2 linked regions of the Drosophila melanogaster genome follow. The protein of the gene in region 2 interacts with the protein of the main gene of each other region in a pairwise test. Each region holds a gene or a part of one and is shown on either strand. Other genes may lie near its edges.

What was found.
Region 1: the proteins of gsb-n (region 2) and en interact in a two-hybrid assay, tested with the Drosophila melanogaster proteins (one study listed by BioGRID).

Annotation. Positions count from the first base shown.
Region 1 is NT_033778.4:11,523,217-11,529,769, forward strand, and holds en (engrailed), read right to left. Parts: upstream 4,995-6,553; 5' UTR 4,455-4,994; coding exon 3,143-4,454; intron 2,010-3,142; coding exon 1,912-2,009; intron 1,632-1,911; coding exon 1,383-1,631; 3' UTR 790-1,382; downstream 1-789. UniProt on the Drosophila melanogaster protein: This protein specifies the body segmentation pattern. It is required for the development of the central nervous system. Transcriptional regulator that represses activated promoters. Wg signaling operates by inactivating the SGG repression of EN autoactivation.
Region 2 is NT_033778.4:25,049,304-25,054,184, forward strand, and holds the start of gsb-n (gooseberry-neuro), read right to left. Parts: upstream 3,029-4,881; 5' UTR 2,706-3,028; coding exon 2,648-2,705; intron 2,321-2,647; coding exon 2,007-2,320; intron 1-2,006.

The sequences.
Region 1 (6,553 bases), about 14 Mb from region 2:
TTTGTGTGTATTGCTAATGGGCAAATTGTCTAATTGGTTCATTACGTGCACAAATGGATTTGCGCCTCTATAATTCGGCCGATTTGAATCCGCCTTGGCTGAAAGGCTAAAAGGCTGAGTAACTGAATAACTGAAAAAGCGAGACCCCTCGAGACATGCGAATGGATTTGAGCCTCAAGCTAGCTGTGCAATTAGCGTTTGGCATCAATTCATATGCGCTTCATACAGCCGTGCATGTGTGTGTGTGTATTGTATGTGCACATCAACGCTTGCCAGTAAATGTCAGCTGCTCATCCCGCCCCCTCCCACAATTTTGCATTGCATTTCGCGTTTGCATTTATTTTCAGCAAATTAACGCCGCTCGCCGCGAGATCTGTGCCAATAAATCATTTGATGACTGCTCCCTGCCGCTTTAGTTTTGCATTTTTTTTTTTCTTTCTGTTTGTTGGGCTTCTGTCTCGTCACAGATATTTGTTTATACTACGCGCGGATTTGGCTTTAATTAAACGGAATGGAATCGAAGAGCAAGAGCTGCCGTTACTCGTCGACGGCCTCCGATTTTGGTTCGGAATGTGATTGTGCAATTAGCGGCACCCTCGCCCGACGACAAGTGTTCGTGATTTAATGTTCTATAGCCTTTGATGTGACAGATGAAAAAGCGTAGAGAAGATAATGGCGCCCTACACAAAGTACAAATAAGGCCACCGATTAGACCGCATGTCCTCCGATATATGGGTGGCATATTTTCCTTTAATGTAGCAGACTTCCAATTCCCAGAGGAAACCAATTGCATTTTAATTTTTTTCCATAATTCTTTTATTTTGTTTTTAATTTTCTTTTCATGAACTTGCTTTAGCACAAACATTTCGTTGTTATTTTCTTAGGTGCATTTGCCAGCTATTAGTTGCTCGTTAACATTTCGCTTAGAAACTAAAATACTCTTTCATAGCAATCCTTAAGTGTGTAAACTAGGAATTAAGCTAGGGAACTGTTAAGTTACTTAATTTACAGAGCGGTTGCAAGCGCGTAATTTATAGGGAGTAATAACTATAGATAGTGTTTTGTGTAGGAATAAACGTCTGAAGGTCGAAGCTTTTGAAGTGCGGCGATAGCGATAGGCTTTGTGTCGGGTGATTACGATAATACTTTCGGCTATCCAGGGGTGGTTAAATAAATACGCCAACAACTTACAGCTCGAATTCGCTACGGATGGGTCTTACTCTAGGTTAGGATTATACGTATATATATATATATTTTTAGAGATATATACAAAAACATATGTACGCTACAATTATATCACATGAAAACCATTTGTACGCCCTCGAATATTGCACGCCCCCGTCAGAAGGAGTAACCCCTTATGGGTAACCATTGGTCAGCGCTTAGGGGATCTGCCCGTTCATGCGCATCTCGAGCTCCTCCTCCTCCTTGGTCAGCGGCACGGTGGTGTGGTTGTACAATCCCTGGGCCATCAGCTGCAGTGCCAGCGGATTTTTGGAGCCCGTCGACTTCTTGATCTTGGCCCGCTTGTTCTGGAACCAGATCTTGATCTGCGCCTCGTTCAGGCCCAACTCGCTGCTCAGCTGCTGGCGTCTCCGCTCGGTCAGATAGCGATTCTCGTTGAACTCCCGCTGTAAGTGGAAGAAATGGAATGCTGGATGAGTTTCGGATGGCAAGGATATCCATGTTGTATAGTCAGGTAGGGAAAATCAATTATTTGCGGTTTCGGCCGAGCGTGGCTGATTGGTTAAGTACGGACGGGACACCACATTGCCAGGATGCATTAGCAGCGGGCGGTGTCAATATTTTGGTGCAAATATGACACAACAAGCGTAGGGCAATTGGATATGGATATGGATGGATATTGGTATAACCATATAACCATATATGGAAAAAAGAACTGAATCTCACCTTAAGGCGGGCCAACTGCTCGCTGGAGAACGCGGTGCGTGGACGCTTCTCGTCGTTGGTCTTGTCCTTTGGCTGTTTGGGGCGGCGGTAGCGGGGTCCTGGAATAAACAAAAACACGAGAAATACGTTAGTTCTATTTGCATAAATGCGCCACATACTATTAATAATATTAATGATTCAATTAGCATATGTCTGGGCGGAATTCCTCGGCCGGAGCTGGAGCTCCCTTTCGCGTGCTGGCGGGGAAGTGTTCAATTTGTCAGCTGTCAGCGCAAGAGAAGAGTAGAACTCCGGCGAGTTAACGAACCCAAAGGTCTACGGCATATTTTAGGCAAATGATTTGCCAGCTAGCCAACTCTCTAATTAGCGACTAAGTCCAAGTCACCGGCTAATTGGCAACGCGGCACCGCAGCAATCCGTAGTGCTTATTAGATTTCCACACATTGTAAATTATAATTTAATTGACCGCCAGTAAGTGGAGATCGTTTGATTAATTCCTAGCCGCGGAGTGGGGCCATCAACGCCTCGCTTATGGGCTGCCATCGATTGCATCGACACCAAATTAAAAAACCATTGCCGACCATAAAAAAGCACTTAACTCGTCAATTAACACACGATCTAAGAAGAGCTGCAAGGAAAATCTCCGCTTGTCAATGGAAAACTCTTCTCCTTTCGAAGGGGCTTCCCCCGCCATCATATCTCCCCCGCACCTACTTTTCCCCTGTCAATCGTCAGCGCGTTTTAGGGTCTCGGCTTCTGCGTGGCGTGTGTGCGTGAGCGGTGACCTTCGACCTGAGGATCTAACAGTTCCGATAGACAAGCGCTGGCTCTGCGCTACATGTTGTCACATAAAGTGTCGCTCTTCAAAAGCAGCGCAGCACTGCGTGAGGCCCAAAATCGGATTCGGATTCGGATACGAAATGGGAATGGGAATGGGCATGGTTATAGAAATGGGAGTCAGATTCGGGCTCATTGCCATTGTCCGCGTGTCGCCTAATTGTGGCAGTGTCCTTCGGATTTATGACACAAAACAGAGCTGCTTGAAAGGCTGCCGCCAACATAACGCTCCCCAAGGGTGGTCCCCATGTAACCATATACCATTTACCATTTTCACATCTTTTTTTTTTTAACGAACCTTTGGGACTTCCTTGTTTTGACAACACTGAAGATGGTGCCCGACGAACCCTCTTTCTGACCCACTTAAACGCTAGGTAATCGCATAGATACTAACCTGAGCTGGGACGATCGCTGTAGCGGGTGCAGTACACCCAGGCGGGCCACATCTCGTTCTTGCCGCCCTCTGTGGTGGTGGATCCCGTCTCGGAACGCGTGTCATCCGAGGACTCCATTCCGGAATCTCGGCTAACGGCGGATGGCGGCGGGATTGGCTGCGGCTGGGGACTGCTGGCATTGACTCCGGATCCACTGGCTCCCAGTCGGCTACTGGGCGAGGAGTTCAAGGAACTGGCCGCCGAGGAGCAACCCGACGAGGAGGAGCTCGAGCTGGTGGCCACGGAAGAGGTGCTGCTAATGGTCGAGGCATTGGAGGCGGGTGGCGGACTGGCCAAGCTGCTGGCACTGCTACTCAGCGGAGGTTGGGTCATCGTAGGGGCAGCAGGTTGTCCGATCTGCGAGACCGCCTTGCACAGGGATCCCAGAGCAGATTTCTCTGGATTGGCATCGCTCATCTTGGAGCTCATGGGCGGCGGGATGACGGCATTGGCTGCACTCCTGCGCAGCCGACTCTGCACGATTTCCTCGTGTATCCTGGGATAGGCAGCCGGATTGAAGCAGTTAAGGAAGTTGGCCCGTTCCAGCATCATGGCCGCAGTAGCGGCTGCGGCGGCAGCCTGCTGTTGCCGGCTAAACTCCAGCAGATCCACTCTTGTAAAGGCGGAGGGCGTGGCAGTCTGGGAACGACTCGCCTCGAAGGGGCGGAATATGCTGGCCTGGTTCTCCATCGACTTGCCCGGCTTCTGGACATCTCCGAAACGATCGCTCAGGATGTTGGAGATGGAAAAGGCCAGCGAGGGCTTGGCCGTCGACTGCTGCTGGTGGGCGGGTGGTGGCAGGCGTCCGCCCGCCGACGTATCATCCACATCCACATCAATGTCGTCATCCTCCTCCGCCTCCTCCTCCTCGTTGGTGGTGTGCGTCTGATTGTGGAAACTCATGTCACCGATCACGGAGTCGCTTTCCTCCTCCTTGATGGTCAGCGGCGTGGACGAGGCGGGCGTGGAGCAGGATGCGGGCGATCCACTGCCACTGAGGCGCTGCTGCAGTGCAGCAGCATGAGCGTGGGCGGCCGCAGCAGCAGCTGCAGCAGCGGCGGCTGCAGCGGCATCGAAGGCCATTGCCGGATGGTGGAAGACACCGGCGGCCAGTTGCTGTTGGTGCAACTGCTGCAGTTGCTGCAGCTGGTGGAGGTGCTGCATTTGCTGCTGCTGTTGCTGCTGCTGCTGTTGCTGGTGGTGAAGATGCTGCATTTGTAGGGTAATGGGGCTGGGCGCTGACTGTGGACTGCAGCGATCCTCCAGGGCCATTGGTTTCGACTTGGTGCTAAATCGCAACTCGCTTAAGACACTTGTCACTGGGTCACTTGACACTGAGCCACTGATTCTTCTGATTGCTCAGAATCTTCTGATTCTCTTCTCTGTTTGGTGTTTTTTGTTTGGCTTATGCTTTCGTGTTTGATTTGCAACTGTTGTTCCGACACGCACGTCTGTTCACATCGAGCGCAACGACTGAATTAGTTGACTACTTCGGAATCGCAGCGCCGACGTCGGGGAGAGTTAACGCGAGAGCCGATTGAACTGTCACGGTGGAAAGAGAGGTCCGAGTGCGGGAGCGAGAGGGCGAGATCCCACAAGTAGCTGGCGAAGTGTGTGCGAGCGAGCGAGTGAGTGAGTGACAGCAGTTGGTGACAGTGACATGAAGAGATGAGAGTAGAAGATGTGTCTTTTCGGCCTTACACTGATCGATTTTCGCTCTCTCTTAGCCTTGTCACCTGCCCCATGCGAACCGGTTTCGCCGGCTCACTCACTCCTATTAGCTGGCCAGAGCGCTCTCTCGCTCGCTCCCTCTCGCTCTCACTCTCTCTTGCCAATTTGGCGAGGGGGGCTTGTTAGGCAGCAATATGACTTTATTATGCGCATGCTGGAGCTGTCAGCCGGTTGACAACTGTGTCCCCAGCGAACTGCGCAGGCGCAAGCTCTCCCTCTCTCACGGGGCGTTACCGAGTGGGGGTCATATAGCGGCACTGTTCACTCCCTCTGCGAGTAGGCCAGGAAAATGGCTGCCTTTCCATGAGGGGGAGAGCCACATGCCATCTCTTTCCACAGACACTTTTCATAAGCATTTAGTTTTTGTTGATTTTGTTTTCGGCCGCGACGTTTCAATCTGCGTTTTCTACAGCCTACAACTTTATCGACACCACCTTTAGGCCATGTGTAGAGGGGGAATCGAAAGAGAGGAAAAAAACCGCAAAGCTAATTGTTTTAATTTAAATGAAGGGAAACTTTTTATCACCCCCACTCCCACCACCAGTATCATTTGCGATTTTTCACAAAAATACGCTAAATACACGATGACAATTTATTTTTGAGGCCTTCAATTAACCAGTTAAATGTGCCTTGAAAAACAGCTGACGAAATTGATTGATATTTAATTGACATTTAATTTATTTATTTGCCCATCGAATATCGATTTGCCAGACGAGCGAATGAAAAACCATCGCTAACTGTCAAAATAAACCTTAGAAGGTGTTAAAAACGAACGCCATTTGGCATTGGACATTAACAATAACGCTTTTTTGTGGGGCTCTAATCAACCGACGATCTACAAATGTGAAACATGTGCTGCAAATAGTGTATAGATGTGGGATTCCGAACATATAACCACTGATATATAGCTCATAAATCAACGAATCTGTTCGATGTGAATAAAACCGAAATCAAATAACGAAATCGCTAATGAATTGCCTTATAGCTAGCAGATTTTGTTGTGTTAATTTTTGCATAATAAAAGCGATCGTTGCCATGTGGGCTACTGATTTATGGGGCAAAGGATTTAATTAGAGAGTAATCTCGCCACCACTCACACTCCCACATTTCCTGTTGCCAATTGTGACATAAGCAATTCGCGCCAACAAACTAACGCCCAAACAATAAGCCATAATCCATATTTAGAGCAAATTTCGTGGTTAACCTGTTCCACAATCAATGGGCCGAAATTTATTCAATTTTTATGCGCATTTTTATAAGTATCAAATGGACTTGAATCGAATATAAATTAATAAATATATTTGAACAGCTCAGATGCATAAATTGAAATTCCGTTGAGTGGTCTTAACCGTTTCGATTCGATCTTAACCGGTTCGAACGCACCTTCCAGTCTGCGGTCAGCCATTAAAAGTCGAAGTTGGAAAAACTGGAAACTGGAACGGAGCCAAATCTATTTCCCCTTTTGAATTTCGAACTTCGAATAGATAGTTGTCTCACTCGCTCTCGCACTGTGCGCTTCTCGCTCACTCTGCCCTGCTCTCTCACGCATGACAACAATGGCTGCTGCCTCTCTCTCGCACACCCCCTTTGACCATCTTCCTCTTACACATTCCGCTGTTGCCGTCGGCAGCTGTTGATTT
Region 2 (4,881 bases):
ATCCCAATCCCAATCCCAATCCCGATCTCGATCTCGGTCGAGCCCCCGACTGTGAGACACATTTTTTGCATCCGCCCGTGTTGTGGCTTACAATTTCAATTGAAATTTAATTAATTAGATGACAGTTGGATTGACACTTGACTGCGCTTTATACATGACCGATTCGTGTTGCGTTTTTGACTATATTATGTTTGGGCTCTTTCTAGTTTTTTAGTTTGACTGACTGATGCGCTCTGTTTTTTTAATAATTAAATTTCTTGGAATCTGGAACTTTGTCAGCGGGACATTTGATTATATTTGGTGACTGAAATTTTCATCAAGGAACGAGCCCCTGTGGAATTAAAAAGGAAGCCGAAGTTAAGAGCGCCTGTACATAACCAAGTCCAAAGTACAACATTTAAAATCTGAAATCCCGATCGTCGATAAGCCGCCACTAAGCGAGTCATATCAGGTAGGCATAGGGAGGGGTAATCGCGGTCAGGTATGAAATCAAGACACAAGAGATGCCTAAAGCATATTCTAATTAAGCGTGAAGCTCACCTGGAGGCAGTTTTTACGCCTACTGCCACGCAAAAGCGAGCGCACACAATATAAGGCCTATAACACCGAAAACAATCAAAATCCCGATCTAACGGTTTTTGTTATTGTGAGGTCATACAAAAACAGCAATGTGATTGCATATTTTTGTCATTCATAAAATTTTAAATGCAGTTTTTAATTTTTTATATTAATAAAGCACTAGTCCAGCACTCTTCCCATAAAAAAATAAGAAGATAGTAAGCTAAAAACTTAGTTTATTAAAAAACTACTTTTGCGAATTAAACCATCCTAAATTTCTTTCTGTGCATATTACACAGTGCGCATCTTTTGGATTTGGAATGAAGTGATGCCGACTCTGATCTATAGTCCGATCGTATCGATCGCCCGAATCCTAACGCCCCATAAAGTGTGGCTAATTGCGGTTTCAAATAAAGAGCGGGACGATGCCGCCAAAAGAGGCTGGCGCATGAATACACTAGTGCTTGTATTAATCCTAAACCCTACACTCCCTCCACCGTCGAGAAGTTTTGCCGAAAGGGAAAATCAACTTCAAGACGGCCGTCATCCATCCATGCAGGCGTGAATCGGTGGAGCTGGTCCGGCTAGTGGGCAGTATGCCGAAATCTTTTGCCAGACTTTTGGTCTCTGTGAATGAGTCATATTGGCGTAGGTTCAGTAATGAGCTGAAACACAATTTCCCCGTTGGACTTCGCTTTTGCCACATAAGGTGTGGGGAAGTGTGCTCATCTTTTAAGCTTAACGCAAATCTGAAGCAAAATAATATCGCAGTATTGGCAAAGGTGGCTAGGTTTGTAAGACGGCACATTAAAACAGAGAATAGATGACAAGGAATATGTCGTTAATTATAAATTTTGTTAATCTAATAAACGAAACGAACTTATATGCGAGCCATTTTAATGTTTTGATGTAGGACCGATTCTTTCACGCCTCAAAACCGGAAGCGAAGTCCCGACGGCGAAGAATCATATAAATATATTCTCGTATAGCACCTTTTCGCCTCAAGGACAAAACACAAACGATGCCGACAAGGAACACGACAGAAGCGGTGTCTTTATGGTTTAATTGATTTCTTAACGGTTTGGGTGGCAAGCGAAAATTTGTCGTCGCTGTTGTTCAACAATATTGTCAATGAGCGGGCAAGTTCAAACTGGGTCCTTGGTCAGTTTGGGCCATCTGTGCAGCTAGTCAGCCGACATATGCAAAAGGCCAGTAGGTGTCATAGGCAACGTGCCATAACAAAGCCAGCGGGCGGTACGAAACTGCCACGTGACTTTTCGGAAAACGGAAGTAAACTGATTCGCATTCGGTGCGTATTTTGACCCTCTTCTATCTGGACATATTGGCATGCGGTTAAGGCTACCGGCAGGTCCTGCAAATCCTCGCATCGTTTGTTTTGGTACATTTTATTGCTTCCTGCAACCTTGCAGGTGCATCTCGGTACTCACCTTTATCAGCTTTTCGCGTATTTCCCAGCTGAATATGCTGGGGTTTTCCTTTCGCAGCTCATCGATCCGCGTTTCAATTTCGGGAGAGGTCACCTTGGGCTTAGATCCACCTATTACGCCCGGTCTAATAGAACCCGTCTCCTGGTATCGGTTCAGAATCTTCGATACGCAGCCGTGAGACACGCGGAGCTGGCGCGATATTACACAAGGCCGCACTCCACTGGCCGCCATTTCCACGATCTTCAGTCGAATGTGATTGGGCAACGGACGTCCATTGATAAAGACGCCCCCAAGCTGATTTACCCGGCCTTGTCCTGTGGGCAAGTTAGATCAATTGGCATAAGCACTGATAAGTCAAATCATTTATTATTATTCATTAGTCAGTAGGAATCGTTCACTTCCTTCTGAACTTAACCTAATGTGTAGCTTAAAAGACATTATGGATTCTGTTCCTTAATTATAGTGTATACATATGTACCGTACTATCTTACGTGTAAGGAGTTCATGGGAATGTATTCTCTTCAGGCGTCGGAGGGAAATAGGGTTCAAATGTAAACAAGTCTAGGTCTCGCATGATTTCAAGGGGTAAGTTTTTTGAAATACACAGTATAAATGATATGATATATGTTGAAATTACTTACCTTGAAAGGGATACCCTGCGAAAAGGGGCCGCAACGAGTTCGCGCTGGACATATCCATGGTCCGAATGCAAAGAGCTTATAGCAATCGAGAATCTAAGCGACGCTGCACTCAAAAAACTTTCTTTATTTTCGGTAGGTTAGTGCATCCGAGTCGATACCATTGCACAATTATATTTGAAATGAGCTATGATCAGTAGGCTGTCGTTCCTTGTGGGAAATCACTTAAAGCTGGCCCAAAGGACCCACTTCATCACTACGACGGGCGGCTCCCGATTCCGACGGTACTTTGCAACTCTCAGTCCGGTGGTGAGAAGCGGGATTTTTCTTGGAATCACGCGCGCTTCAGCGATCAAACTGCACGAGACGTGCAAAGCAACTAAAGAGAAGCGCGAGCATAAATTAACGAGGGCCGGCCGGTCCGGGCGATGACTACGACTACTCCGCAGACGGGCAAACAATGAGATCGCTCCACAAACTGGTTTTCGCGCCGAACAACCACCGCCAGATGGAGACGCAGATGGAGATGCTGGCAGGAGGGAGAGTGAGAGCAGCTTTCGCGCCCGCCCTTTCGGTGGTTGCTGCCTACTGGAGCGCCACGACCAGGCACAATATGGCACCGATCAAAGCCTCACAGCCGAGCAGAGAAAGAGAGAGCCGGTAGTGAGCTGACCGCGCTTTAATCGAGGAATTGCCACGCCTCGAAAGACGTGATTGGCTGAGCTGGTTCAGGGCGGATCTGGGCTCAGCTCGCCCGACTTTTGATACTGCATCGCATCCATAATCCATCCGCACATCAACCCCCCTGACGACACTCGCTTGATCACTCTGTGAATGCAGCTGTCCCCGAGCATTGTGGGAATTGTATGACTTTTATTTCATCGCTGGCAGCCAATTAAACCGTGAAGGCTGCAGGGAGCACAGGACACATGCCGAGGACCACGACCAAGCCCAATCGCAAACTCAAGTCCAGCACCACATCCCAGTACCAATCGTTCCGGTTTTGTTACTTTCAGCACCCACAGTTCCATGTCGTGTGCTTCCAATATATGTTTATCCCATTTTGCAGTCTGCACCCTCCTTTAGCTTCTGGCTAGTTAGGTTAGTTCTTTGACAGAAATGTTTATGGGGTCTCAGTTTCCTTTAGCTTTCTGCCTTATCCTCTCATTTTTTTCAGGGCTTTCATAACATTCTGCATTTGATTAATTGAATGGAATGGAATGTAATTTAATGATGACCCTTTGCGGATTAGCTTTAATATCATTCATTGGTTATCATGCATTCATGATTGAAGGATAACAAAGCTTAGATACTGTGTACAAGCAAAAGCCTGACTAGTAAACACATCCAGCACATTGTTCTCCGAGCAACGAAAGTCAATTACCAATATACAAACACAAAAATCAATCAACAGCTATTAACAGCAAAGAAATTCACACCTGGTACAGTTTGAACGGTCTGCAGTTTTGAGAAATTGAAAAACCAACGAACAAAAGCGAAAACAGCGAAAGGACGTCATCATAATGTAGAGAATTAAGCGTGAAGTTTACGCATATTAAGGATACGCACATGCCGCCTGCATCTGGCATCAGGGCGAGACAGGGACAGGGAAGGGACGCAGCCTAAAAATGGCCGCTCGTCGTCCTGTGTTTGGTTCGTATTGGAGTATGTTTGTAAAAGCCGGCCGCATGCAAATTTCTGATATACAATAATATTACTAGTGCTGCGTTCCGAAACCGAATTGAGCAGAATGAGCTGGCAGGCTGAAGAAATATGCAAGGACTCTCCAAAGAAGGATTTATCTGCTAAGCCGACCTGGAGTCCCTGCGATAATGAGCATAAAAATCGATGTTAATGAAGCGTTGTGCAAGGAGCCCGTATGGACAGCCACTTGAGTGCACCGGTACGCCTCATCAACATCGGCAATAGAACTTGCCATGCAAATGAGCCAAACAGGACGTCCTAGGACAAGGCATATTTTAATTGTGTCTCCGCCTGTTTTCTAAGCGAAACCACAAGAACAGGCTCATGATAAACATAACAAATTATCTAATATGCGTATTGACAGTTTTCAATTATCGGAGTTCCTCATGCGTGGCAACGACAGAATTTAAACTTTTGATACGAGCCAAACGCTGCCATTTGGGTTCTTCAATGTATAGAGTTTCGTTTTTCGTACGTCACTTTCCAAAGTCAAGAACTGGAAAATCAAATTCAATATGTCGACTAATTTATAT